Linked DNA regions of Nothobranchius furzeri. Each later gene encodes a partner of the first gene's protein in a complex. Links are inferred from orthologs where the notes say so. Each region holds a gene or a part of one and is shown in the gene's direction. Other genes may lie near its edges. The genes, in order: tada2a, yeats2, dr1, kat14 and mbip.

Evidence for each region.
Region 2: tada2a (region 1) and yeats2 share a complex: the UniProt entries of both Homo sapiens proteins name them as parts of the ADA2A-containing complex. The link is inferred for Nothobranchius furzeri from reciprocal best matches to the Homo sapiens genes TADA2A and YEATS2.
Region 3: tada2a (region 1) and dr1 share a complex: the UniProt entries of both Homo sapiens proteins name them as parts of the ADA2A-containing complex. The link is inferred for Nothobranchius furzeri from reciprocal best matches to the Homo sapiens genes TADA2A and DR1.
Region 4: tada2a (region 1) and kat14 share a complex: the UniProt entries of both Homo sapiens proteins name them as parts of the ADA2A-containing complex. The link is inferred for Nothobranchius furzeri from reciprocal best matches to the Homo sapiens genes TADA2A and KAT14.
Region 5: tada2a (region 1) and mbip share a complex: the UniProt entries of both Homo sapiens proteins name them as parts of the ADA2A-containing complex. The link is inferred for Nothobranchius furzeri from reciprocal best matches to the Homo sapiens genes TADA2A and MBIP.

What each region holds. Positions count from the first base shown.
Region 1 is NC_091753.1:55,048,673-55,054,567, forward strand, and holds part of tada2a (transcriptional adapter 2-alpha), read left to right. Parts: intron 1-123; coding exon 124-281; intron 282-3,200; coding exon 3,201-3,289; intron 3,290-3,505; coding exon 3,506-3,578; intron 3,579-3,677; coding exon 3,678-3,741; intron 3,742-5,895. UniProt on the Homo sapiens protein: Component of the ATAC complex, a complex with histone acetyltransferase activity on histones H3 and H4. Required for the function of some acidic activation domains, which activate transcription from a distant site. Binds double-stranded DNA.
Region 2 is NC_091751.1:55,948,064-55,952,967, forward strand, and holds part of yeats2 (YEATS domain-containing protein 2), read left to right. Parts: intron 1-454; coding exon 455-596; intron 597-674; coding exon 675-751; intron 752-829; coding exon 830-909; intron 910-1,351; coding exon 1,352-1,556; intron 1,557-1,914; coding exon 1,915-2,150; intron 2,151-2,225; coding exon 2,226-2,300; intron 2,301-2,583; coding exon 2,584-2,657; intron 2,658-4,904. UniProt on the Homo sapiens protein: Chromatin reader component of the ATAC complex, a complex with histone acetyltransferase activity on histones H3 and H4. YEATS2 specifically recognizes and binds histone H3 crotonylated at 'Lys-27' (H3K27cr).
Region 3 is NC_091756.1:58,160,312-58,165,475, reverse strand, and holds the end of dr1 (protein Dr1), read left to right. Parts: intron 1-2,201; coding exon 2,202-2,348; 3' UTR 2,349-3,273; downstream 3,274-5,164. UniProt on the Homo sapiens protein: The association of the DR1/DRAP1 heterodimer with TBP results in a functional repression of both activated and basal transcription of class II genes.
Region 4 is NC_091746.1:29,632,156-29,638,733, forward strand, and holds kat14 (cysteine-rich protein 2-binding protein), read left to right. Parts: upstream 1-2,397; coding exon 2,398-2,656; intron 2,657-2,758; coding exon 2,759-2,880; intron 2,881-2,975; coding exon 2,976-3,097; intron 3,098-3,328; coding exon 3,329-3,501; intron 3,502-3,575; coding exon 3,576-4,010; intron 4,011-4,084; coding exon 4,085-4,665; intron 4,666-4,842; coding exon 4,843-4,976; intron 4,977-5,086; coding exon 5,087-5,262; intron 5,263-5,336; coding exon 5,337-5,527; intron 5,528-5,598; coding exon 5,599-5,772; 3' UTR 5,773-5,863; downstream 5,864-6,578. Other genes in the region: protein PET117 homolog, mitochondrial, read left to right, coding at 1,280-1,519, 2,053-2,202. UniProt on the Homo sapiens protein: Component of the ATAC complex, a complex with histone acetyltransferase activity on histones H3 and H4. May function as a scaffold for the ATAC complex to promote ATAC complex stability. Has also weak histone acetyltransferase activity toward histone H4.
Region 5 is NC_091758.1:21,135,546-21,142,177, reverse strand, and holds the start of mbip (MAP3K12-binding inhibitory protein 1), read left to right. Parts: upstream 1-2,701; 5' UTR 2,702-2,740; coding exon 2,741-2,860; intron 2,861-3,647; coding exon 3,648-3,764; intron 3,765-3,930; coding exon 3,931-4,110; intron 4,111-4,672; coding exon 4,673-4,769; intron 4,770-5,125; coding exon 5,126-5,191; intron 5,192-5,371; coding exon 5,372-5,530; intron 5,531-6,056; coding exon 6,057-6,154; intron 6,155-6,632. UniProt on the Homo sapiens protein: Inhibits the MAP3K12 activity to induce the activation of the JNK/SAPK pathway. Component of the ATAC complex, a complex with histone acetyltransferase activity on histones H3 and H4.

The sequences.
Region 1 (5,895 bases):
GATCTTTCGATCATAATTCTGATGAAAACTCGGAGAATCAGTGTTTGTTTTACCTTCTGATTTACTCTCAGATGAGTCTGAACCAGATTAAATGCTGCGTTTGTCCACTCTCTGTGTCCTCAGGCATGACGTGGCATACCAGATGCGCACAAAGACTAAAGAGGAATGTGAGAGCCACTACATGAAGAATTTCATCAATAATCCACTCTTTTCCTCCACGCTGCTCGGCCTGCGGAAAACAAAAGACTCCCACTTTGCAGATGGGGCGATCCCGTTTAGATGTGAGAAATCTGCATTTATTTATTTCTCAATTTTTTTTCTATTTACAAAAGAAATACAATTTTCATTTTTGCTTATTTTTCTGGCTAAATATCTCATTAACCACCACACTCTGAAACAGCTGGGTCATTTTTTGGAATCAGCATTGTTCAGGATGGCCGTCACAGTCAAGCAGCCTTAGCAAACACTGTGATGGCATCAATTCAGCCAGCTGAATGGATATTGAGCTAAAATGAGCTGAAACACGAGTGATCCTGAAATGCTGTATGAGACTGTCGTAATGTCATATTCAAGATTTGACCAAAATGCCTTTAAAGGTAGAGAAGAGTTGACCCTGTGTTTAAAAAAACACAATTCAAAGGTCCAGCCAGCACTCTTTTACTGGCTCCTGCTCCTAAGCTACACCTCCAGAATACACGATGCTAACATCCATAAGAAACACAACATCAATTCAATTCAATTCAATTAAAAAATACTTTATTAATCCCAGAGGGAAATTGATTGCTGTAGTAGCTCATAATAATAATAATAATAATAATAATAATAACAGGGCATCCGCGGGTCCTTAAAAAGTCTTAAATTAGCTTTTCCAAATTTAAGGCCTTAAAAATCCATAAAAATGACAAAAATCCTTAAATACAGTTTCCAAAGGTCTTAAATTACCAACGACCCAATAAACAAGATTCTTTTATTTCTATAAAATGTTCGTGAATTTCTAGTTCAGCATTTTTTTGTATGATATTGGCGTAAGCGGAACCAAATTCAGTTGGTTGTGAAAGGGGGCTATTTTTAGATGAGCACATTAGCTGGTTAAGCTAGTGGGAGCTTGCGCCATGGGGAAGTGCAAGTTTAATGGTAACTGGATGGCTAATCCCACATTCGCGTCGTGGTTAGCACCGGTTCCAGGCAATAGCTGGAATTTATAGCTCAAATTTCATTTTAAAAAATTGCTTAAATTTGGTCAAAGTGGCCTTAAAAAAGGTCTTAAAAAGTCTTAAATTTGGCTCCCTTAAACCTGCAGATACTCTGAATAATCAAGTCATCAAAGAGTTGTTGTATATTACAATGGCTGTTGGCAGGAAGGATCTCCAGTAGCGGTCAGTGTTGCAGCCAAACTGAAGAAGCCTCTGACTGAAGACACTCTTCCGTTGTCGGACAGTCTTGTGAAGAGAATGCTCAGGGTTGTCCATCATGTTCTTGATTCTCTGGAGAATCCTTCTTTGCATTATCTCCTCCAGCGGTTCCACAGTCGTCCCCAGAACAGAACCAGCCTTTGTTATTAGGCCGTTGAGCCTTTTCAGGTCCCTGCTTCTGATGCTGCTACCCCAACAGACGATGGCTGAAGAGATTACACTCTCAACAACAGACTTGTAGAAGACCTGCAGCATCTTGCTATAGACATTGAAGGACCTAAGCGTCCTCAAGAAGTGCAGTCTGCTGTGTCCCTTCTTGTAAACGGCTTGGCTGTTCTTTCTCCAGTCCAGTCTGTTGTCTAGGTGAACTCCAAGGTATTTGTATTCCTCAACCACCTCCACTTCTTTTCCCATGATGGAAACAGTGTTTGACTCCACCCTGTTTCTTCTGAAGTCTAAAATCATCTCCTTTGTTTTGTTCACGTTCAAGGTCAGATGATTGTTTCCACACCATGCCACAAAGCGCTCCACCAGCTCTCTGTACTCAGCTTCCTGTCCATCTCTGATACACCCGACTATCTTACCTTTCCAACCCCGTTGTGACGTTTTATGTCTTAATTCCCAACGCAACGCACTGATGTAACAGCCGCCAAGCCTCCAGGCTTCTGATGGACTCGCCGTTGTCCGGTGCTCTCCAGACTCTCTCAAGTTAAAGTTTTAGAGAGAGAAGCCACTGGAACCTAGATCGCTTGAATCACGCAATCTCTGCTCAGAGCAGCTGAACAGGAAGTGAAGCCAGAGCTGGGCTAGCCACATTAGTTAGCCCTTCTGAGTATGTACACGTCGCTAACCTCGGTCCATAGGAGCTGAGAATGTCGCAAGAGCCAATAACCACTCACTGGTGAACAGTTAAAGTAATAACAGGTGCACATAAACAAACAGGTAACTTTTTAACCTTCTTCCCAAATAAATTGTCCTTCGAAAACAGTCCAATTCAAGCTAGCTAACACCAGATACGACAATGTATTTATCCACCTATCAGCTTCCTGTGTACGACTCACCTTTACTTGTCATCTAGAATCTTCTGGTGCTGATCCGTGGCGGGAAACAGCCTTGAAACCCAAAATCAGTAGTGAAAAAGTGAGTTGTTAAGGGCTGCAGTTACAAAGTTAGACCACAGGATGTCGTAGTTACTTCAGGCTTCATCACAGAACTTTTGAATGGCCTGTATTTGATAAAGCGCCTTCTAGAGTCCTGGAACCCCCCAAGGCGCTTTACAACACAATCAGTCATTCACCCATTCACACACCCATTCACACACGGGTGGGGATGAGCTACGATGTAGCCACAGCTGCCCTGGGGCGCACTGACAGAGGCGAGGCTGCCGAGCACTGGCGCCACCGGACCCTCCGACCACCACCAGCAGGCAGCGTGGGTTAAGTGTCTTGCCCAAGGACACAACGACAGCAACAGACTGAGTGGGACTCGAACCTGCAACCTTTTGATTACGGGGCGAGCACTTAACTCCTGTGCCATCGTCGCCCCACACTTTTCAAAGGTCTCGGGTCATTTCTGATTTGTGTAGCTTTTAAGCAGCCAGGTGTTCCGAATTTAAGTTCTCCAGGTTTACCAGTTAAGTGTGAAAGTGACCCGGCAGAGAGTCGGACCCTCCACCTGTCAGAGCAGGTCGGTTCTGGTGTTGCTCGCATGCAGCGGGTAGATTTAAGCTTCCTGGTCATTAATGTGTTAAAGAGGAAGTTTGATTTTGGTTTTCCTCTGATCCCGCAGCCTCCGACGACCCGCCCCGGCCCACGTTCGACTCCATGCTGTCTCGGGACATGGCGGGCTACATGCCGGCCAGAGCGGACTTCATGGAGGTGTGTGTGTGTGTGTGTGTGTGTGTGTGTGTGCGTGTGTGTGACCTGCAAGAATAAACCATCAGAGTCGCCACTAGGGGGCTGGAGATGAACCCTCATTGAAACAGTGACTCATACCTTTGTTGTTGCCTCTCTGAGACCCGTTTCTCATAAATTGTTGATCGTCGCTCGGTGCAGACGAGCAGATTGTGAAAACCCTTTTCATGTCTCTCTCAGGAGTTCGACAACTATGCAGAATGGGACCTGAAGGACATTGACTTTGTGGACGATGACTCAGATATCCTGCGTGGTGCGTAGGACTTTTGTTTTTAGTATTTTTATTTTTCCGTCTGATTGACCTTCAGGTGGCTGACTTTACTTTTCCATGTGGTGTTTGCTTCTCTCACAGCCCTCAAGCTCGCTGTCGTTGATATTTATCATTCAAGATTAAAAGAGAGACAAAGAAGGAAGAAGTGGGTGAATTGTATTATTTGTGATAGAAGAAAGTACTCATTAACCTGTAATAACCTCCATCTTTCAGCAGATGGCGCCATACGCCTGAGAAATCACCCCCAGGTCTCTTAAGCTCTCTGGTTTAATTAATGACATTTATGCTCATTCTAAAGTACAAAGCAAACAGTTTCGTCTCCCTCTGAGCTCAGCTCCAACATTAATGATGCTGATGTGTTTATATCACCTAAAGAGGTGTTTGTTTTGTTAAAAGCTCATTTAGGACCAACGTCCTGCGAGGCTGTGCTAGCCAGAATCAGTTTCTTCAGTCGCTACAGAACACGGAGTGGTTCACGCTCAGCTGGTGGTCATTTTTAGAAAGAAGGAAATTGTGTCACTTTGTAAAAAGTCCCATAGAATGTTCTCCGTGTTGGAGGGAAAAGATTTCAACTCCCAGAGACCGAGGATGTTTTCTTTTAAACGACAGCCATCAGAAAACCCTCACACAGCTGTTTGAGTGTGCCCATCAAAAACGGTTTTCCTGAGAGTTTTTACTCTCCAGCAACCAAAGTTAAATCAGTCAAGTCAGCGTTTTCTGAAACTGTGGCCCTCAGGCTGGGATCGCTGGACCTCCAGGGGACCACCAGCCTTAAAAGGGCATTATGGAAGTGTGACAGCCAAAACATGTATAGAAATAATAAATGTCTTCTTCATACATTCTCCTGCAATGCCCTGGTCCTGTAGAATGAGCCCTGGCATTTTTACTGTGATTGCCTGTTTTTCTGTAAAATCACAGAAAAAGAGAGATGCTCGGGTCGAGCAGGCTGCTTCATGCGCGTTCACGCTCAGGCATCGCCCGTAGCATTTGCTATCTGTAGCTTTAGCAGCAGAGAGAGAGGCAGTGCCACTTTGTCGCTGTTCCTAACGCCTAGTGACAAAGCTAGCTACATTTCTGAGGACCCTTAGCTACTTTCTGTAGAACTTTCTTCTAGATATTTCCTGCAAATTAGCAACAAAACAGCCATTTTCACTCCGAACCGTTCTTTGAACATTGTTTCAGCTGTCATCAAGGATATAAATGTTACAGATACCAAGGACGTCACTGGAGACAGCTCACCTAGTAAGACATCGGACTCTCGTGTAGAAGACCTGGGTTTGATTCTGGATGTGAACACAGTTTATTTAAAGTTCATTTTTTACATTAATTGTATTTTTTTTTACAGTAAGAGGCCCAAATTTTTATTTGAGACTTGCCGAACGGCATTGAATTCACAGATAAAAAAGATCTGGGTTCAAATTTCATTTTGGAACAATTTTTCAAGCAAGGGAAGGGAATGATCTGAGCATGCAGGAGGACTGACCCATCTTAAACCTTTGTCGGCTGTGCTGAAGAGAAAGGTACAGAACCACATTATTTAATTAATTAGCTGCGTGTTCTCCTGTCCTCCGGGCCACACACACACACACACACACACACACACACACACACACACACACACACACACACACACACATGGGGCTGTCTCACCTGTTATTTTTGTTAAGGAGTGTGCACGTACAGCTTGTGCGCCTCGTGCACGAGCCTCCTATTGAAGCTGCAGTTATGCTTTTGGCCTGAGGGGGCAATCGCGAGCATAAAAATTCAAAACTCCATAAAGTCCCTTTAAGTTGTGGGTCTGTGGGACCTGAAGCTTGTCCTGGGGTGGACACATGCAGTGGTGTGAAAAACTATTTGCCCCCTTCCTGATTTCTTATTCTTTTGCATGTTTGTCACACAAAATGTTTCTGATCATCAAACACATTTAACCGTTAGTCAAAGATAACACAAGTAAACACAAAAAGCAGTTTTGAAATGATGGTTTTTATTATTTAGGGAGAGAACGAGATCCAAACCTACATTGCCCTGTGTTGAAAAAGTAATGGCCCCCCCTTTTTAAAAAATAACCCAACTGTGGTGTTTCACACCTGAGGTCAATTTCTGTAGCCACCCCCAAGCCTGATTGGGTGTGGTTAAAATATTCTGCATGTGACCATATTATGGTGGTTCTTGGGTCGTGATGATGGGGCCCTTGAATATTGTTGCCCAGGGTACAACAGAGTGTTAATCTGGCCCTGGCTGCAGTGAAGCTTCATCAGGTTAATAATGGGATTAAAGTGGTTTCAGATGATTGGTTCAG
Region 2 (4,904 bases), on another chromosome or scaffold:
ACAGAGGCGAGGCTGCCATTTGGCGCCGTCGGCCCCTCTGACCACCACTAACACAGGCAAGTTGGGTGAAGTGTCTTGCCCAAGGACACAACAGCAGGATACCCCTGGTGGGAGCTGGAATCGAACCCATGACCCTCCGATCATGAGGCAACGCGCTCTACCACCTGAGCTACTGCTGCCCCAAATGAATGAATGACTCCTGTAGATACTAAGGAAGGCTGGGGGGAAAGCGAGGAGATAAGTTTTGCTTTCAGTTCTATAAATGGACTCTAGGGGGTGCCAAAAGCAAGCCAAGACTGCCTAGTTCCCTTTAAAATATAAATTACATGTGTTGATTTGTGATGAAATAGTTCAGAGTAATAATCTTTTATACAAGTCTAAATATGTTTGTGATTCCTAATAACATTTATCTCCCCCACATATACACATCTGCTGTCGCTCTCCGCTGCCACAGTGAAAACAGAACCAGGTGCCGTCGCAGCTGGTCCGTCGCCCCTGGCGACGGCTGCTGCTCCAGCCCCTGTCCATGTTGCTTCTGCAGCCACCACCGTCAAACAGGAACAAGGCACAGATAACTCAGCACACTGCCTCATTAAGTAAGAGCAACGCCGCTGTCTCTTTAAACACAAATGCAGATGATGTTCTGATGTTAATCCAAAGCTCTTTCCTCTCAGCACTGAGCACATCGAAACCATGATGCAGCTGCTGACGGCTGTGGTGAAGAAGTTTCCTCTAATTGTGCCAGAAAAAAGTAAATACAATTAGATTTCATATTTATAAACCGACTGAAGACACTCTTTAAATGTAACGCTGCTTTATTTTTACATAGCTGAAGACTCCCATCCCTTTTGTGCCTCCTCAGTAGAACAGTATTATTCTTGGAACATTGGCAAACGCAGAGCGTCAGAGGTAACCTTTTGATTTTGTTTTGATGAAATCTTATGTCCACCTCTCACCGTTATCTTCAGTTTTACTCGTCTTCATGCTGTACTAGCCTCGTGTTTCATCAACATAGTAAATGATTCATTGCTGTTCTTGTGGAGAAGAGAAGTATGACCGTGTTTTTACTCACTTTGATGGAGTACACGACGTGATGATTCGCCGCGGCTGCAGTTTTGCATTTTAATCCGTCTTCCAGCTGCATCTCTTCTCTCTCTAGTTGGATGTGTGTTTCTGCCACATCATCTCTTTGACTAATACTGTATTCTGAGCCGTATGTGGGATACCGTGAATATTAATGCTTATTCATGCATGTTGCTAAATAGTTTAAGCAGCGAGGGTCTACAATGCTTAAACTTTGTGATCGGACTCTTCCGAGTTAAAATGAGCTGATCTTTGGCCGTCTCTGTAGCTTCAGAGAGCGGTGGCGGTGAAGCGTCTGGTTCAGGACGTGCTGGACCGCTCGCCCCGCCTGCAGGCCCTGACGCCCCCGAAGACCAAGGAGGTGGTGCAGTGGTGCCGGCAGAGGGGCTACACGCCTCCCGACCCTGAACCTCAACACAGAAACGAAGACGAGTCAATCGAGGACATTCTCACGCAAATCGACAGCGAGCCTGGTAAGTTTTGTTTTTGTGAACGAGTCCTCTGTAGGGAGACCTGCTGGGCGAGTTTTTGTGTGTGTGTGTTTTGGATTTCAGCAGCTCTGTACAGCTCTTCTGCAGTTACCGCTTGATACAGTGATGTGTATGTGGTTGTGAGGGCGGCCGGTGTGCAGCCTTGGTGCTTTTGTTCAGCTGAAATCCGTTTTGGTCCTTTGTCTCTAAAAGGTGAGAGACGAGGACTCTCTATGAGTCACTCGCCTGAGCCAGACAACGTTTCTGTCTTGCGAATCTTGCTTTATGTTGCACAACTGTAATATTCTTTAGTGAATGTTAGGCTGTCCTGCTTTAATAAAATTATGGATTTGTTCATCAGAGTGCCCGTCGACCCTAAGCAACTATGAGGAGCTGGTGCAGAGGCTGGAGCAGATGCAAGCTCTGCTAAAAACCGAACCAGAGGAGGCAGATGACGAAATAGTCGACATTGTTACCGTGACTCCGCCCTGCCAGAGGCTAAAGGTCAAAGAGGAGGAGCAGGAAACAGATGTGGAGCCGAAATTTTATCTGGGTCCCTGCATCTCCTCCCAGTTTGTCAGTGAAACAGCTCAGCAGGTCAGTGAGCTCTGTGTGTGTTCCTAAGTTTCATCGGTTCTGCTCTCTTTGCTAAAGGTGTTTTGTGTCTTTTAGATCGGGGTAAGCTTTCAGCCGGTGGAGGTGGAGAAGAATGTTTTTGCTCCTGTAGTGGAGGCCATGATTCTCAAGGTCAGTGACTTTAATGAGGTTTACAGGGGCTGATTTTATCTCGGTTTTAATCAGTGAGTCGGGATTTTTTAAGGAAGTGTTTAGTTTTTATGTGGAGGAACAGAAGATAGGGTTTTTTTTCCCCAGAATTGGTGAAATTAAAGAAATTCAATTAAAGACTTTGTGTGTGTGCGTGTGTGTGCACGTGTGTGTGTGTGTGTGTGTGTGTGTGTGTGTGTGTGTGTGTGTGTGTGTGTGTGTGTGTGCGTGCGTGCGTGTGTGTGTGTGTGTCTGCGTACTGCAGGCTACACAGCAGTTTGCCAGTGATATCCTGAGAGAAGCTCTAGCTGGAGCCCACGCTAAATCCTCTCCAAACAGGTTTGTTATTTTTCATGCTGCACATCCTTTCTGTTTCTTTGACATCTCCAGGCTGTTGGTTTCACGCTTTATTGTTCTTTGCTCTTTTTAACTATTTGACTTCATGTTCTTACTAGTTATTTATTGACACTTACCTCCATATTTGCAGGCAATCATTTCAGTCCCAGATTAGAATAAAGTCATCAGTGGCTCTTAGTTTTTGGGTCTATTTGCATATTTATGAGTGACCAAAGTCTAATTTTAATTAGATGTGTTTGTCATAGTTACATATATATAGATATCTATATAAACACATGCTTTGGATTAATGGTGCTATGATTCTAGTGATTGTTGCTGCGGCAGTTGATTTGCAGCCACAGGCATTCTCCTGCAGGGAGAAATACTCGCAAAAGTATTAAATGTGTATAAATCTAAAGCCAACAGTACTTTAATACTACAGGTGCTGGCCAGTAAATTAGAATATCATCAAAAGGTTGAAAATATTTCAGTAATTCCATTCAAAACGTGAAACTTGTACATTATATTCATGCAATGCACACAGACCAATGTATTTCCAATGTTCATTACATTTAAATTTGATATTCATAAGTGACAACTAATGAAAACTCCAAATTTGGTATCTCAAAAAATTAGAATATTCTGAAAAGGCTGAATATAGAAGACACCTGCTGCCACTCTAATCAGCTGATTTACTCAAAACACCTGCAAAGGCCTTTAAAAGGTCCCTCAGTCTTGTTTTGAAGGCACCACAATCATGGGGAAGACTTCTGACTTAACAGCTGTCCAAAAGACAATCATTGACACCTTGCACAAGGAGGGCAAGACACAAAAGGTGATTGCTAAAGAAGCTGGCTGTTCGCAGAGCTCTGTGTCCAAGCACATTAACAGACAGGCGAAGGGACGGAAAAAATGTGGTAGAAAAAAGTGTACAAGCTCTAGGGATAACCGCACCCTGCAGAGAATTGTGACGACAAACCCATTCAAAAATGTGGGGGAGATCCACAAAGAGTGGACTGCAGCTGGAGTCAGCGCTTCAAGAACCACCACGAGGAGACTCATGAAAGACATGGGATTCAGGTGTTGCATTCCGTGTGTCAAGCCACTCTTGAACAAGAAACAGCGCAAGAAGCGTCTCGCCTGGGCCAAGGACAAAAAGGACTGGACTGATGCTGAGTGGTCCAAAGTTATGTTTTCTGATGAAAGCAAGTTCTGCATTTCCTTTGGAAATCAAGGACCCAGAGTCTGGAGGACGAGCGGAGAAGCACAGAATCCACGTTGCATGAGGTCCAGTGTAAAGTTTCCACCGTCAGTGATGGTGTGGGGTGCCATGTCATCTGCCGGTGTTGGCCCACTCTGTTTCCTGAGGTCCAGGGTCAATGCAGCCGTCTACCAGGAAGTTTTAGAGCACTTCATGCTTCCTGCTGCTGACCAACTTTATGGGGATGCAGACTTCACCTTTCAACAGGACTTGGCACCTGCACACAGTGCCAAAACCACCAGCACCTGGTTCAAGGACCATGGTATCCCTGTCCTTGATTGGCCAGCAAACTCGCCTGACCTTAACCCCATAGAAAATCTATGGGGTATTGTGAAGCGGAGGATGCAATACGCTAGACCCAACAATGCAGAGGAGCTGAAGACGACTATCAGAGCAACCTGGGCTCTCATAACACCTGAGCAGTGCCACAGACTGATCGAGTCCATGCCACGCCGCATTACTGCAGTTATTGAGGCAAAAGGAGCCCCGACTAAGTATTGAGTGCTATACATGCACATTCTTTTCATGTTCATTCTTTTCAGTTGGCCAACATTAGAGAAACAAACATTTTTTCATTGGCCTTTAGAATATTCTAATTTTCTGAGATACCAGATTTGATGTTTTCATTGGTTGTCACCTATAAATATCAAAATTAAACGTAATAAACATCGGAAATACATTGGTCTGTGTGCATTGCATGAATATAATGTACAAGTTTCACGTTTTGAATGGAATTACTGAAATATTTTCAACCTTTTGATGATATTCTAATTTACTGGCCAGCACCTGTATAGTTATGACCTAGATGATCAATGTTTGCTACAGTTAGGCATCAATAAAATCATCTGTCCTGGCCTGCATAATATTTATTTATCTATTAACGTATATTTAAAGAGGAGTAGCCCCATGAGATGTGCCATCTCGTTGTCGTGAGGGTCCTCTTTAACAAGATAAGCTACCACCATGTACAATAAATAAAAACGAGAAAT
Region 3 (5,164 bases), on another chromosome or scaffold:
AAAATAACATTCCTCAATTTATATTGCAAAAGTTAAATGTTAAGAATTAAGTGTGTAAAGTGCTTAAACCTTTCAAGTATCAGCATTTTTTTAAACGTGCATACAAAAACTGGTGAAAGTTAACACTTTAAATCATGAATTGTCCCACTATATATACACTATTTGCAGAGTGATGTTTTGCTGCTTAAACTCTGTTTAAGGTGCATTTTTGTCATAAGATGTAATGCCATATGTTTTGTTCTGTACTTTTGAACAACTCTGTTGGTCAATAAAGGGAGAAAACTAATTTCTCCTCAGTAGGACAAAGGTACATCTACCGGTAATCTTAATAAAAACAGACCAGCGCACGGCAGTGACGTCATTAAAAGCGCCGGTTAGATTAGCCGCGGCTAGTCTGTTTACGCCTAGAAATCCCAGACCCGCTCCAAACGAACAGGGGAATCACGTTAATGATTCCTAACAAAACCTTTCGACATTGAGATGTTTTGGTGCAGATAATGTCTTATTTCGAGGCTGCACCATGGGTGCCCGTCCGCACCCGTTATACGGATATACACTGACGGCGATTCGCCGATGGATCTACGGTAAATACCCCGGGGAATCCAAGTAGCACCAAAGTTGTCAGCATGAGTAAACAAACGTACTGCATGCTAGAAATTAAGTCCGGGTTGCAATAAACGGGAGTTTCCTTTAAGCACATAAGCGTGAATATACAACTACTTGTCGGACTTGGTATGCTAATTAAGTTGGGCTGTGAAGCGCCTCCCAAATTCGCTGTTTTTGTTTATTTTTTTTGGCAGACAAAACTTGGATCGGAGACAACTCGCGTGGGAAATTGCAATGTAGCAATGCGGCGTCTTCTTCTTCTGTTTGTCTGGGAGGCGGAGGCTGCTTTACGGCATCTGGCTGTCGTGCGTGTCGGTGTACTTGAAGAAGGCTGTGTATAATAGTCCATAATATCGATACCACAGGGATGGAATATCTAATTTAGATACCACTTTTAGCATCGATTTATATCTGGGTATTGATTTTTTTGACAACTCTACTGCCTTCTCCAGGTCAGGGATGAGGTCCTGCCCCAAGTGGAGGAGTTTGAGTATCTTGGGGTCTTGTTCACGAGTGAGGGAAACATGGAGCGAGATCGACTGGTGGATTGGTGCTGCATCCGCAGTGATGCGGGCGCTATACCAGTCTGTTGTGGTGAAGATAGAGCTGAGCTGGAAGGCAAAGCTCTCAGTTTACCAATTGATCTATGTTCCTACCCTCACCTATGGTCACAAGCTTTGGTTAGTGACCAAAAGAATGAGATCGCGAATACAAGCAGCCAAAATGAGTTTTCTCCGCAGAGTGGCTGGACTGTCCCTTAGAGATAGGGTGAGAAGCTCGGTCATTCGGGAGGGGCTCGGCGTAGATCCTCTGCTCATCCACGTTGAGAGAAGCAGTTGAGTTGGTTCGGGTATCTGGTTAGGGTGCCTCCTGGCTGCCTCCCTGGTCAGGTTTTCCAGGCACATCCAACTGGGAGGAGACCCAGAGGAAGACCCAGGGCACGCTGGAGGGACTATGTCTCTCAGCTGGCCAGGGAACGCCTTGGGATTCCCCTGGAGGAGCTGGGGAGAAGGAAGTCTGGGCCTCTCTGCTTAGGCTGCTGCCCCCGCAACCCGAATCCAGATAAGCGGCTGAAAATAGATGGATAGATGGAAAATTATTGCTTTTCCTGATTTGTTTTTCTGTATAAAGAAAAAAAAAATCCTAACTAAAAGCTGAAATATAGGCCTGCACGATATTGATCAATATTGCTGTTTCACTGCGCCTAATATTATCTCAAAGGATTTTAATAAGTTGCTGACACTAACTTTTGACTATCAGAGGTTTCCACTCCCATAATGGCCCTCGATCAGCACACCATGTTCTGTATGAATCTTTATGAATGAACATGGAGTTTCTGTTGCTGCTGTTCATTCATTTATTTTTACTAAATCTGACCAGTAACTAAACTTAAACATTCTGCAAATTTACACCTTTACCTAAGCTTTGCTTTAAAGTAAACACTGAAATGTGGTTTCATTTTAGTTATAAAATGTTCTAACTGATCGTTATGTCATGTAAAACATCTCTTTGATGGCTTTACGTATGCACAGTCCTCAGGAAAAATAAAAAGCTCTTCTTGCTTCTCTCTGGTTCTGTGGGCCGCGTGGCTGCAGGCCCGGCAACAACAGGCAGAACTCGCCCAGCAGGAGTGGTTGCAGGTGCAGCAGGCTGCCCAGCAGGCACAGATGGCGGCCGCATCTGCCAGTGCAGCCCAGCAGGCTGGTTCCTCTCAGGATGAAGATGAGGAGGATGACCTGTGAACTCCGGATGTGGGTACATGTTCGGACTTTGTCCTGGGACACTGCTGGCACACGTATCTTCCAGCGTTCTCGTTGGCGGAGACGTCTTTGAGCGCTGAAAATAAGCACATTTGAAGAGAACAGTGAAAGAGGAATGGGCCCCATCCAGATCCTAGTTCCTGGAAACGATTTGGATTGAATGGCTGAGTTTTGTGTTAACCTTATGTTCCCCATATAAGTTACTTATGTGAAATGAGCTCTTTGATGTTCTGTTGTGATTGGATTTGTAGTTGTGAACACACTGAGAGCAGATACTGGGACGCGTCAGCGACTCAAGCGTCAAGTCTCTGCTCCTTCAGGTACATCACAGACGCCCAGTCCTCAGTCGGTGGTTTAGATGAACTCGTTTCTCTTTATTTGATTATTGGTGGTCACTTTTACAGGAAAGATTTTGTTTTCTCCCTTAGCATTTTTGTTCAGACAGTGAATTTGTTTGAGGCATTGTGAATATTGAATTTGTTTCGTTATGTAGAGAAATAAATAGACCTTTTTTTTTTATTTTAGCTTGTTCTGATATTTGTCATTTTGTTCTTCCTTAGAACCGCCCACAGTATTGGTAATTAGCTGCAAAGTTGAGCAAATTAAACTTTTATCTCATAGAACCAAAGATGGAGGACAGACTTACTGCTCAGACTTTGTTTTTAAAAGTGTAGGTGCTACCGTGATACTTACTGCTGACTCCAGATCAGTGTAAATGATGTGAGGAACCTTGTGAGATGCTTTTGTGTTCAGGCTGAAATGATTTCCATTTTCCTCTGGAGCAGTATCTAAATATCTTTATTGTGACTTTGGTCAGCCCTCAGCGTTAAAAAAAAACAAGTTGTGAAACAGTCATTTGTTATTCTACAAAGTTGTATTCTTTAAGCAATAAAGAAGTGTTTTTATAGGTCAGTGTTCCATGTTTGCTTTAAATACTCATAATAAATACTTTATTGTTTACATAGCTGAATGTGCTAACAGCACAATCACACAAAAATGATCAATGGAAATCAAATTTATCAACCCAAGAAGGTCACACTCAAAAGTAAAGTTGATACACACTACAGGCAAATCCACCTTTGATATAATGTAAATGCCCTGTATTTGATATAGTGCCTTCTAGAATAGTGATGGGAATTCCAGCTCTTTTTAGAGAGCCGGTTCTTTTGGCTCAGCTCACCAAAAAGAGCCGGCTCCCAAGTGGCTCCTCAGATTTTCTGTTGCGTAGAGTACATTTATAACCAAAATAATGCTAAACTATATGTAAAATAATTTACTAATGTAAAAAAAGCAATATATCAATTGTTTATAATTTCTATGGATTTAATAACTGAACACTTTAAGAAATCTCCACTTTCCGACTGCTGGCGCTCATTTTCTCACCGTCTTCGTCGCACTCTCCTCTCTCTCGCTCGCCTTTTCCCTCCTCCTCATTCCCTCTCGTCTACCTCCACCCGCATGTGCTCTGCTGTGTGTCTGAGTCTGATCCTCCCTCTTCCCCGCCCCTACTGCTCTGTGTGTGGACGGTCTGGACACACAGTTCCACATGTTGACCAATCGCCTGTAGCTTTCACCAAGGCAGGGGGCGAGGGGGTAGGGGACGAGCCGGCTCCCGTCGTTCACTTCAAAGAGCCGGTTCATTCGCGACCGACACATCACTATTCTGGAGCCCCCCTAGGTGCTTTACGACACAATCAGTCATTCACACATTCAAACGCAGGTGGGGATTACCTACGATGTAGCCACAGCTGCCCTGGGGCACACTGACTGAGGCGAGGCTGCCAAGCACAGGCGCCACCGGTCCCTCTGACCACCACCAGCAGGCAAGGGGGGTTAAGTGTCTTGCCCAAGGACACAACAGTGACAGACTGAGGGGGCTCGATCCTGCAACCTTCCAATTACAGGGCGAGCACTTAACTCCTGATCTACCGTCACCCAATGTCCTTCAAACCAGTCAGAATGAGGCTTGGTAGTGTGTCTGGCCTCCATGCGTCTGTATGACCTCCCTACATCACCTGGGTATGCTCTTGAGGTGGTGGATGGTCTCCTGAGTGATCTCCTAGTTCTGAACTAAAACATCCGCCAAATCCTGGACAATCTGGTGCAACGTGGCATACGTGCTGTCCCACATGCGCTCAGTTGCATTCAGGTCTGGGTAATGGACAGGCCAGTCCATGGCATCAACAACTAGGTTTCCATTACCAGAACTTCAGGGTAGATTTACAGGAACCTCCTGACATGCACGTGTCTCCACTTGACCAGGCCGTTTTCAGGAACCTTCTGAGTAACTGATCAGGGGTAAGTACTCCGAACGGCCTGGTGGAGCAGCTGAGCGAAACCTCTGGTTACCTCATACTGATTGGTTGAAACCCAGTTGGAAATGACATCAGCAGGCTGGTAAAATTAGGAGAGTTGCTGGTGAAGCAGAATGGAAGCATAGGAAAATAAGCGTCGATCGTGCTTAAAATCTAACTCCTGACACCATAAAACATGGTGGAATTCCCCCCGCAATCAACGAGGCTTTGTTGTCTCACAGAGCGCTGTAAAATATGACACTTCTTCTGGTCATTGAACACCACATTTTACGTCACACAGCTGCTCTCATCCTCAGAGTGGATGCATTTTTTATATACTTCAATAGAATAAAGGCTTGTAATGTTATTGTTACTGCGGACGCTTTTTGGCGACATTGCTCACTGCCAAAGCAGTCGTGATATGCTGACGTCTGTGCAAAGTTTTGAAAGGGCTGAATTTGAATGGAGACAACAGCTGTGTGTACTGGGACATCCTATCGCCTG
Region 4 (6,578 bases), on another chromosome or scaffold:
GTCCTATTTATGTTCCATGATCAATAAAACTGGCTCCCATCTGCAGAGACGCCCTGTGTGGTTACGGGTGACCAGGTCGTGCGTCAGACCTGCAGGAACGTCCCAGGGACCGCTTCTATGTTATCCTGCTGCTGCAGCATTGTTGCATGACTTCTAGTTCTGCAGGTTTTCTAAGTCTAATTTTAAATCAAAACGTTAAAGAGCAAGTCACCCCCTACCAGAGTCTTACTCCACTCCCACTTCATGTTTGAAAAATGCAACAAATGCTGTTGCCTGGCAGACCGAGAGGGCGGAGCTGCTAACAAATACACACACACACACAGGCTCAGGACAGCATTGTGACATCATAATGTACCAGATGACATCATAGCATACCTCTTAGCCAATAGTGGTGGCAGATTTAAATTCAAATACAGTGCAGAGTTTTTACCTGACAACGGCACAACACTGACAGTTTTAGGCAGAATATTTAAATTTTAACTAAGATGCACTGAAGTGCCAAATTATTGACGACACGTGTCTGTAGCACGATTAGACACTCGTTTATTTAGTTTATCAGCAAAAAAAGTTTATTTGGGGGAGACTTGCTCTTTAAGCTCAGCTCTTTGTGTTTTTTTTTATAATTCTTTCTGCAAAATTCAAATACACTGAAAAACCTTTTAATTCTTTTAGATTTAAAACCAACGTTTCTGCTCCTCAAACTTTGACCATTTCTGCTCATTTCAATCTTGATTCAAGACTTTAAGCTGCATGATTCCGGTTTTTTCTTCGTGTTTTACATTTCTCCTCACTGCTAAGATCATCGCTCCTCTCCAACTTTCCGGTCAGGGTGATTTTCCAAAACTTTAGTTAACAAACTAGCTACTTCTGAACCATTTACACTAATGAAATAAATGATAAGAGATTTACACACATGAACACTGAAATTTCCTTTTCCTCATTGAGAGAGAAACAGGTCCTATCTTGGAATAGAATGGAATAGACTTTAATAATCCCACAGAGGGGAAATTCACTTGCTCCACTTAAAGAAAATAAAGAAGGAAATGATCAGATTACAGGTAAACACACCTTGGCCATACGTTATTATTGTAAACTCCAACCACTAAAAACAACGAATAAAAAGAAAACGTTGGTTTCCAAAACTATGTGCACATACTAATGTACATTCTCAGCCTGCGTCGCATAAATGTTTAGCCGAAAAAAGGTAAAACGTCATAAAAAATGCTGAAAAAGCACCACAACCATCTTTTTTTGTTCTGTTACCAAGAAACCTTCAACGATGGCTGCCTGCAGCTCATTTCCCCACCAGCAGGGGCCGCTGTGGCTCATGGGAGTGAAAATAAACAGAAGAAGAAGAATAACTTCCGGTAGTGCAGACGAGGAGCCTGTTAGCATCTGGCTAACTGAAGTCAGACCCAACGTGATGTCGGCAGCCTCCAAAGTGGTTCTGGGTGTTTCTGTGCTTCTGACGCTGGGTACCGTGGCAGCGGTCCATTTAAACCAGGCCTGGGATCGAGAGGTAAGTGTGCGAATCGAGCCGGTCCAGCAGCAACCGAACTACAGGACATTTAACCTGACCTCTGACCCAAAACCAGCGTAAATAATTTTCCTGTAAGGAAGTGATAGAAATAAACTGGCTGGCAGCTCACAATGTCCCGGATGTGAGATGATTACCCATAATTCACTGTTGCACAAACAGCTCATACCCCAGCTGTCAACATGGTGGTGGAGGGCTAATGGCCTGGGCCGGTTCCACAGGAGTCCAGCATCCTGATATCTAACACACACACACACACACACACGAGTCTGTGACAACACAGCAGCAGATCAACAACAGAACCAAGGTGCAGCGGTCCAGCCAGAATCTAGACCCGAACTATGTGAGAAACGGACCCATATTTGTGTTACTTCTGCTCTGCAGGAGGAGCCTCTTTGTGCTTATGGTTCTGAGTCTCTTGTAGGCCCTTTTATCTTGCACTTGGGTTCAGATTAAAGCCGACGTGACTCCGCAGCAGGGCCTGTTGTCACGTGTTGTTTTTAATGACCCTGCAGAGGCTGCGTGAGGGTGTGGTTCAGGATCTGGAGCGGGTGGAGAGGAAGAAAGAGAACCTGAGGCTACTGGAAGAGCAGAGGATTCTGACCAGACACCTGGAGGAGGAGCGGAGGAGAGGAGAGGAGAGGCTTCAGTCACAGGACACCTGAGGCAGGTCAGGAAACATGGTCATTCAGCTGTGTTTGCTTGTATAGAACAAAGATGACATGAAGGACCAGAACTTCTCTGTCTGGTTTGATCCAGTTTGAACCTATTGTTGTATCTGAAATGTCCACATGGGTCTTCTGGATGGACAAATAAGAGAGTGCCTCTCTGACCCATGTAACCTCCACAGGTGCCCAGAGATGGACAGCAGCAGTGAGCAGCTGGCAGCGGCAGAGGACGAGGCGGCTGGAACATCCGCCTCTGAGGGTCTGGAGGAGGGCGAGGTAGAGGGGGAGACTCTGCTGATCGTAGAGTCTGAGGACCAGGGCTCCGTAGACCTGTCCCACGACCAGAGCGGGGACTCTCTGACCAGCGACGTGGGCGAGGAGACGGATGGAGGCTGGGCCTGTGAGGACATGTCCTTCTACTGCGAACGTTGCCACAAGTGGATCCCTGCAGGTCAGCCAGTCACAGCACAGCATGGAGGACCGTGTGTGTGTGTGTGTGTGTGGTTGCTGCGATCCTAAAGGGTTTTGTCTTTCTGACCCGGTTCTGGTCCAGCTGAGCTCCACGGTGACCAGCCCAGTTACCTGAAAGGAGACAACTTCTTTAAGTTCTTCTGCTCCGAGTGCTCTGAGGACAGGAAGGAGAGCTTTGAGAGGATGAGGCTCACCTGGCAGCAGGTATGACCCAGACTCAGCAGGGCAGGTACCACACACACACACACACACACACACACACACTTCCTGCTTGTTAAACAGGAACATCCTGTGTTCAGGTGGTGATGCTGGCCATGTACAACCTGTCTCTGGAGGGGACAGGCCGGCAGGGTTACTTCAGGTGGAAGGAGGACATCTGCGCTTTCATTGGCCGCCACTGGAACTTCCTGCTGGGGAACAGGTGAGTTAGAAGTCATGCCGGAGACCCTGGCCAATCAGAGTTTAAGGCTTCCCTTTCAAACCTGAGCTGTTTGACCCACTTTAAACATCCACAGTTGCACAGATGATGGAGGGAAGATGGGTTTCCAGGGCCAGGAAACATCCCAGCCCCGATCGATCCCGTTGAAAGAATCATCACAAGTTCTGCTGAATCTTTAACTCGGATCAGTGAAGATGCTAATGATGTTTGCAGGAAGAAGACGTCAACGTGGTGGAGCACAGTCGCTGGCTGCCTTTCTGTCGGAAGTCCCACCTTCTTCCGCTCTGGTGCGCAGGAGTTTGGAGAACCAGGCTGGTGGAAGCTGGTCCAGAACAGACCTCCCACCTTGAGACCGGATGGGGACAAATCCATCGCTAAGGTCAAAGGTGAGATGCATTGTCACAGTTATGTTCAGGTGAGAAAGCTCCGCCCACTGATCCATTGTGTCGTTCACTCACAGTCTCTAAACCGGTGATGGACCCGATTATTACGGTGGAAGGTCTGAGGAAACGTGGAGCCAGGAACCCGGTGGAGAACGCCATGCAGCTGAAGGAGAAGCGTTGCCGCACACAAGAGGCCAAAGACATCCGCCGAGCCCAGAAGGAGGCAGTGGGAGGCTACGTTGACCGCAGCTCCTCCTCCACTCCCGTTAAGCTAAGCGGAGGCCGCGGTGGGGGTGCCAGTCGCCGGTCTGAGGTGGTCCTGGAAAAAGGCGAGGTCATCGAGTTCTCATCCCTCAGCTCCTCGGACCGAACACCGCTCACCAGCCCATCTCTGTCTCCATCGCCCGACTTCTCCGCTCCGGGAACGCCTGCCTCTCATTCAGCCACACCCAGCCTTCTTTCGGAGGCGGACCTAATTCCGGACGCCATGCCGCCACAGGCATTATTCCACGGTGAGTCATTTCATCCTCGTGCTGGGCTGTGGTGTCAGCTGTGATGTCATCTCCTGTCTGCCTCCCTCTTTCAGATGACGATGAGATTGAAGGGATGATTGACCCAGGGGTGGAGTACATCCCTCCTGCTAGCACCAGCCATGTTGGCCGTAAGAAGCTCCGCCCAGCGGCGCCATCCCACATCAAACGGGAAGCTGAGAGTGAAGACGATGATGGCCACCAGAACGAGGACTCCCTGGAAGAGCCGGCAGAGGCCCCGACTCTTTCCTGCCGGGGTCCGGTTGGCGTCAGAGCAGCCGAGCGGCGGAGGGCGACTCATCCTGAGAAATCTAACGAAGTGGCTGTCCTTCGGGATCCGGGCCTGGTCCCGCTCAGCCTGTACGAGGAGCGGCTGCTGCTGCTGCGGCTGGACGCCTGCCCGCTGGCGCTGGCCGTCACTCCACATGCCAAACGCCTCCACAGGAAGCTGCTGGTCCGCCAGACCAAACGCCAGAGAGGGCTCCCCCTGCTAGACGTTGACCGAGCAATCAGCGCCACCCTCAGCCTGGTGGGAGGCATCTATGATGCGCAGGAGGCGGGGGCACATGTGGAAGGCGGGGCTAAGAAGAAATACTGCAGCAGCCGCCAGGAGCAGCGGATTCTGGATCGTTTTCAGGTCTCTGCTTGTCTCCTCAACTCCAAACCTTTAGAAGACATCCATATTTCACATCAGCAGCACGTTCCAGCTGTTTCTCACTCGACCTTTGACCTTTTTGTGCCGTTTCTCCCTTGAAAGCTAACACCATCGGCTCAGATTCAGCTTTGGTCTCTGAACCCATCTGTGTGTTTACAGACCAGCGTCTCCAGCCGAAGGCGTGTCCAGCACAGCTCCGTGTCCTTTTGGCACCGTCTGATGGGAGCTGAAGGCAGTTTGGACAAAAGCATCAAGAGTCCGTACACGTCCCGCCTCCTGAAACCGTTCATCAGGTAGGCCAGTCTGAAAACTTTGTCTTACCTGCTGGAGTACGAAAGCCTTACAGGTGGCGCTCCAGAGGTGCCCAGGCCCAGGTATCACGTAGAAGCTGTGTGCTCCACAGGAGGGATTACGAGAGTCGCCCGGTGAAGCTCAGGTTGCTGGAGGAGATCAGAGCATACCCCCACAGGAAGGATCCAGACTGGGTCGCTGAACCGGACGCCCCCATTGACTACTGCTACGTCAGTCCCTACCACATCCCCTCCGTCAACGCCATGTGCCAAGACACTTTCTGGCCAGGTAACATGGCTCCGCCTCCCTCCTTTGCTTGCGCCTGTCAACCACGAGTCAAACCTCCAGGTGTGTTCCTGCAGGTGTGGACCTGTCTGAATGCCTGCAGTACCCAGACTTTAGCGTGGTGGTTCTCTATAAGAAGGTGGTGGTTGGCTTTGGTTTCATGGTGCCAGACGTCAAGTACAACGAAGCCTACATCTCCTTCCTGCTGGTCCATCCGGAGTGGAGGCGGGCCGGCATCGGGACTTTCATGATCTACCATCTCATCCAGGTGAGTCCTGTTGGGGCGGGCAGGTAGTTTACACGAGAAAGCCTGGACCCTAACAGCTGTTGTGCCTTCAGACGTGCATGGGGAAGGACGTGACGTTGCACGTGTCGGCCAGGAATCCGGCCATGCTACTCTACCAGAAGTTTGGCTTCAAGGCCGAGGAGTACATCTTGGACTTCTATGATAAATATTACCCTGTGGACAGCACAGAGTGCCGCCACGCCTTCTTCCTGCGGCTGCGGCGCTGACGCCTCCACCCTGTTCACCAGGCTGCGTAGACCTAGATCCATACGAGTTGTTGTTGATCAGCTGATTAAACTTTTCTGTTGTTGGACTTTTCTTGTGCTCACCTCGTTTTAGACGTTACTCGTCGCACAAAGAAAACAACTTTTAAGTTGTTAGTAAAGTTTTTACACAATGGCATTCTAGCAGGGAAGCCTGATCGGTCCCCTCCTCCGTCACCTCCTCCATCTCCTCGGGTGGAACCTGGGACCTTACCCAGGCCTTTCTCCATGTGAGAACCATTTCTAGAGGTGCTGATCCTCACCCCAGTCAAGAGCTGAAGTTTGACGTAGCTAGGAGAGACAAGATCCTCCTGCCACCCTCCACTCCATGGCTGCACCTAGAAAATCTGCCCAAGGTTCTGCACAGAACCGGTGACAAAAGGCGGCAACTCACTGTGAGCAGGTCCAACTTGGGAATTAATGTTATTTCAAAGCTTTTGGACTTTTCTGTATCCGTTGTAGCATCCTGAATGTCCTGTTTTTGACCTAAAGGTCATGATCTGCTGCGTCTGCTCGAGCAGAGACATAAAGTCTCTGACAGGCTAATCTACATGAGATAGTGGCCAAGGTCTTTCATGCACTCTGCTCATCTGACCTGCTTCACCTCTGTTACAGCTCAAGACGAGGATGAAGAACTCTTGATAAACACATAATCAACAACTTTGTTATTACCAATAATAATGTGAGTCCAATGTTCAATCAGTCTGTGAAATGACAATGTTATTACTTGATATTAGTCCTATGATCAGTAGTATTTTACAAGTAATTAT
Region 5 (6,632 bases), on another chromosome or scaffold:
CCCCAGATTCTATGAGTCTAGTCGCAGCCCTTAAGCAAATGGCCCCACTGGTTCTGTTAGGATCAAGAGCCATCGGAGGCGAACAGTGGAGTCGCTCCACTTACAGGGGTGCCCACCATTGGTGGGCGTACATTTAAGCTCTTCATGATTGGCTGATGCTGAGATCACCCTTCCAATAGCAGCTAGCTTAAGGTTGATCAGTGGACTCAGTAGTCTCCTCTAAAAAGCAGCTGAAAACTCACCTGTTCAAGCTTTTGTGTGACCTCCAGATGATTTTTCCTCACTAGCTTCTATTCCTGCTGCTACCTCTACCAAATCGGCCTTTCTCATGATCCCATGATTACCTTTTTTTGTTCATTTTTTTTCTTCCTTCACATGTTTTGATCATTTTTTTCTTTTTTCTCAATTTTTTATGATATTTTTACCTTTTGTTTTTTGTTCTTGTGAAGCACCTTGTGATTTTTATTTTGAGAGGCGCTATATAAAAAATTGTTTCTTCTGTTTCTTCTTCTTCTTCTTCTTTAAACTATCCTAATTCAGAACTTTTATATAAACGCATCCATGTTGAAGTTCAAACCAACAACAGCAGTTCCTTCTGAAAATGTTTTGATACGAACACCAGAGCAAATCAATCATGAGCAAATAATGTCTACAGAAGGGGACTCAGGACACACAACTTCTGTTTGAAAAGATTAGGTTAATTTTCACGTTTGTATTTAGTTTCTCACACTTTACATGTTCTAGTACCTCTTCTGCTGTGTTTGGTGTAATTCATTTATTTTCCTGTATTTATTTATCCTTTACACTAAAGTGGGCCAAACCATTTTGTCACCACATTTGCATTTTCACTGTTGCATCTATTAATCACTGAAAAATCTCACCTATTGAAGCTATTTTCACTTTTATTCAAACGTACAAGGATTGTGGAAAAACCCTCGGCTCTGCACTGATTAACATATTGTTCCTATGTTTTGTTATGCTTGACATGCACGTTCCTGGGCTATCATAATAATGTCTGTTCTATGTTTCATTTTGTTTTTATTGCTGAAAATTGGGTCTTATGTGTGTGTTTGAATTGCTGAAGGAAATAAAGATGTAGACTGAAGCTGCATTCTTTGACTGCTGCTGACCGAGTCATATGTAAAAGTATTCGCATATAAAAAAAAGGCTGTTTTCAAATAAATACATCACCAAATTTGGACTGTCTGGTATTTATTTGCACATATGCAAATGAAAAATACATTTAGCTAAATGGTTGTTTATGTTCAATTGATGGCACGACCTGGAAATTCCCGATTAAAACATGCAATTACAAAGTATTGGTATTTAATTTAATATATGATGATGTAAGTATTACCTCTTCTGTTCTTTATGATTTTTCAACTAACAAGATAGTGAAAGATCAAGTCAGACCCTTAGCTAATGAGCATCTGCAATTTGGCTTCAAAAGTTAAATTCAACCAAAATGCTCTAAGTATTTTCCAAGAAGTACCTTAAATCACATATACAGCTCATTAAAAGGGTAAAAAAAATTACAGCTCTTGGGTCTGCAGCCAGGCAAATTAAATGAGCAGTGTATTTAATTTCAGAGCTCCTCGCTGTGTGGGAACATTTAGCAACTGCTCAGCATGTCAAACCATGTCAAGTGTTACAGTTCTCTTCCTGTTTCACGGGAAAAAATATCACCCTACAAATGAATTAAGCTAAAAAGGCTTATCTTCAGAGCCCTTCCTAAAATGATTAACCTTTCTAAAGAGCATTATTGAGTTCTGAGTGCATGGTTGTGCCGTCTCTTTGCCTGTAATTGTTCTTTTTCTGTTGTTTCCTTCATCAGTCTCTCTCTTCATTATATGAAAAGAAGTGAAAAATGTCTGAATAGAGAAGGGAGATTTTCCCACAGTCACTCAACTCAGAGAAATACACCATTGTGGGCAGGTTCCCATCCCAATGCCCTGCTGCTTGGTCCTCTGCAGTAAGAAGCACAGTGTGCTTATAATAAGGAGCCATTCTTTGTGCTGTTTGAGAAGCAGGTGAATGAAAACGTAGGCAAATGTGGCTTGGACATGTCAGTCAGTATTGTAAAAATGTAGACAAGTCCATTTAAACCAAGATTTAAAAAAGAGTTTAAGTCATAAAGCACCTCAAAAATCAGCACAATAAAAACATTAGTAGTTTTTTAAGAATAAAACTTATTTTATATGCTTTATACAAATAAGACATGACCTTATGAGCATCCTCTGAGAAAAGGCAAACAAATATACTGAACCTAAATAATATGTCCATTTCAAAAGTTAAAACATTTTCTGTTTATTTTTCTCTGCTGTTTTTTAAACTATTGTTTACTTTTTTGTTATACTGAAACATATTTCACAATTTTAAGCATCTGTACTAGTTTATTAAATAGTTTAAATTAGTAAAAGTTGACTTTTGCTTTCTGAATGAGCCTTCTAGAAATTAAATCTCCACAAACAAAAACAAAAGCATCTTTCTACCTATGATGAGCCCTCTTTAGGATCAAACAAAAAAAACTATACAGGTTTTTTAATGTTTCAGAATCTATTTAAAGATCAAAATTCTGAGCAAAACACAGTAAATCATTTATTTTTGTGCTTTGAATTTACTTTCATGCGCTACTGTTAATGCGCATGCGTCATTTTAGCCTGCAGTTCCACCAACCACGTGATTAAAATCACCGTCTCGCAACCAATGAGCACGCAGTATTCCATGAGTTTGAGTAGCAATGGCGGAGACAACGAAGCTAAGTGAGAGCAAAGCTCCTCCCAGCGAACCAGCTAAAATGTCCAGTTACAAACACTGCATGGACGCAATACTGGGGCTGCTTTCAGACTTTGGGAAAGAGGTTGGTGTGAAATGATTCAGCTGCTTCGCTCCGAATAGTCATTCCAGTCTGAGTAGTTTCCTAGCGGTGTGCTAATGTTTTTAGCAACTAGCCTCGTCGGTTCATGTTCATTCACTGTCCGTTAATCAAGTTTTTGCCGTAGGAAAGCGTCAGCTCGATGGTTTATATCTAAATTAACAGATTCAGTTTTAATATTTGTATTTCTGTGCAATAAAAACATGTCCAGACTTTTGTGTCACACGTCAGTTTAGGTTCAAATCACGCTTATTTTCATTTACCCTCTTTTTCCATATAGTAAACGTTCACGGTTTTTGGCATTTTTACGCAGTATTATGTAATTTTTGGTCCTGCAGGTAAACGTTTATTGATGCCACTGTCCACAACGCATTTCTACCTTAGAAAATATATTTAACCTTGCTCTATTTCCCCCCGTGTTTACGTCTAAATTATTAAAATTGCTGGATGCTTTAGCTCTTTTCATACCCAGGGCTTCTAAAGGGACATTAAATATATGTATTCAGTCTTATATACACTGTTTTTTTTTGCTAAATAATGGTTTAGTTTTTCTAGCACAGCAGAAAGGTTCAGTGTAAAACAATAAGATTATTTAATTTGACCGTTTATAGAAGCAAATTATGAAAAATTGCTTCTTTTTTAATTACCAAATTGTTGGTTAAATTACTTAAATTATTTAGCATTTTCTGCCTCTACTATTTTGAACTATATATTTTTTATTTAGCTGTGGTGATGTGTACTTGATGAAACTCTTGTTTATTTTCTCTCAAAGCTGAAATTAGGGGATGCTGCTTTGAGAATAGAGGTCAACCCTGGAGCTGTAGTACTTTCGTCATCTTCAGAAGCAGGTGTTTATGGCTGTGTACAGCAGCACATTGCTAAGTTGCAGGTAAGACATTCACCCGTTGGTTAATTTATGTTACATATGACTGCAATATCTAATAAGTGCCACATTTACAGTATAATTGATGGTCACTAGTGTTGTAATTAAAGAAATAATAACACTAATTTATAATGTGTTTGTAGCAGTCAGTGTTCTTTCTGTTTGGCTGTAGGCTGTTTCAGAAAGCCTGAGGTCACTGGTGGAAGCTGATGTTACATCTGTGAAGGAAGACACGGCGGATAACATTGTCACGTCACTATCATCCGAGCACCGGCGTCACAGCTCAGAGGCTGCAGACTGCGGGTCTTCGGGCGATGACGTCATGGTTCAGATCCGAGCCGGGAAGTCAGAGGTTGGTCATTGTCAACAGATCTGTCAGCTGTTCTGGCACTGATATTTTAGAGCCCTTCACACTCTGTCAAGCAAATGAATAATCATAAGTAATTGGTTCCAAGGATGTGCACATGATGTGCAGCAAATGCTTGATGGAGTTCTGATACTGGGTTTGACAGAGAATAAAGGGTTCTGTAGTGCTGTGGTGGGGTAGAATGGACCACATTGCTGGAGGGGTTTGAGAGAGGGCCAGGTCCTTGATGGATTATGAAGTGGATGCTCATTACTCTGAGATTGCATGTGGATGAAGGACAAGAGGCCCCATTCTGTTGTGCATTTATTTTGGTAGCCAGGCAAACCGTATTCTTATTCCATCACATGATGACGATAATCTATTCAACTGTTTGGGCTATCTGGAATAATTTCTCTCACTGTGTTTGATATTTTTTGAAACCATAAATCGCTGAACTTTGTTTACTCTAAATCAGTAAAAATAAGTCGACAAAACATTGAATTCTTCACAGCTATCAGTGGCTCATCAACCCGTTGTGTCTTATTATCTGTCTTCTCTGTAACTCCAGATCGAGCGAAGAATATCTGCATTTATGGAATGCAAGCAGATGGAGATCAATGAAAACAATGTGCGCGAGTTTTGCAACGTGATCGACTGCAATCAGGGTGAGAACGGAGGAGAGATTGGGGGGCAGGGTGGAGAGGGAGGCTGCACACAGATTGCCAATGTTTGGGAGAGAGCTGATTTCCACAGGCGAGAGGTCAGGCTGAACTGCTCCAAGAGTGGGCCTGAAGTAGCTAACACACTCGGCCTTGAAACGCAACCTGCTCTGGCCAGAAAAACACCAGACACACAGGCTGTTTGAAATTCAAAGCTTGTGTGTGACGCCAGTAATGGAAATCAGACGAAGTTGCAGTTCAAGTGTGGTGTATTCATTTCTAATGTTTTTTTTTATGACTATTTTCTTCTTACATTTAGAAAGTCTAATTACACTTTTGTTTTGGATTTGATTCCTTTGTAGAAAACAGCTGTGCCAGGACGGACGCCGTGTTCACTCCTTACCCAGGCTTTAAAAGCCACATTAAAGGTAAGAAAAGGGGACTCTTTGTTGCTCTTACGTTCAAAAATACACTCATCATCACTAGCTAAATTATTTTTGTTAACAATTTGGTAACAAGCATCATGGATGCTGTGTGATTTCTGTAATGTGCATCATTTAAAATTTGGTTGGTTCATCCGAGTCTGTGATTATTCTTTGGTTGATCAGTTTCACGAGTGGTAAACACTTACGGGCCCCAGACTCGTGGCGGGGGGCGCCAGGGAGAGGCTGCAGAGCATCATAGGGGGGCAGCTGCAAGAGACTGTGGAAATGCAGCCATAGAGGAGCGACTTCAGAACATGGAGACTCACCTGAAACTGCCGTCAGGTGAGAGAAGAGAGACAAGTGATGCGTCACACATCCTGAATAAAACTGTACAATACAAATAATATAGATATTGTGACATGATGAGCACCTTTTTTTATAAAATATCAACAAGAACATAAATTCTTGATGTTTTTCTTAAGTCACACAAAAAAGAGTTAATCACACTCAAAGATGCACGGATTCTAATTTTTATGGCCGATACTGATTTCTGAGTTTTCACTACTCTAACCAACCAATGATAGTGATGGTGTGTTCATGGACTAGGAAAAAAAAAACAGATTTTATTTTTTTTGTCTTTAACTTGAACAAACTGGGGGAAAATCTGATTCTCAGGTGCTGGGTTGACTGATCACCTTGTCATGTTGAATATTGGCTGATTTAAAACACCAGATGATAACTACGTACATATTTTTGGGGAGAATCTTGTCACACGATGATTTCTCTCCCTATTTTCTGGGTTTTGTTTTAGTCCTTTTTTTCCCAGTCTGGTGTATGGAACATATTATATTTATGTTTTATTCCTCAGTGGGTCCGGTTCCTCTGACCGTCTACCAGCGACTGAAGACGTTGGAGGATCGAATCCTGGAGCTGGAGGGACTCTCTCCTGAGTACTTTCAGTCCACGGTGAGTCTTCTGGATTAAACACACAAAGCTTTTTCAGATAACATTACAGCACAGAGATCTGCATTAGAAACTAAACTTAAATGATGACAGTTCACATAATGTAGTTCAATGCAAATTCAACCAGTGCTCTCTTAGATTTTTATTCTGTGCAAATCTTCATCTTGGAGCACTTTTAGCCTCCCCTGACGTTCACAGATATTACCTCTAAAGCAGTTTGCTTCCATTTCTCCGTAACTTTTACTTCATTGGTCATTTTTTGTAAAAGACGATGTCTGGACCGCCCTTTAGGTGGTTTAACTTATGTGAGTTATTTGTTTTTGAATGTGATAATGTGGGAATGAGGGAGATATATAGTACATTGATGCAACATTCCTGAAGCAAATTTTAAGTCTGAACAGGTTTTAGGTTTAGAGACAACAACAGGTGATCTTGAGCTTCTATGGTAATAAGTAGTTAGAATATCTGCTGTTTTAGGTAG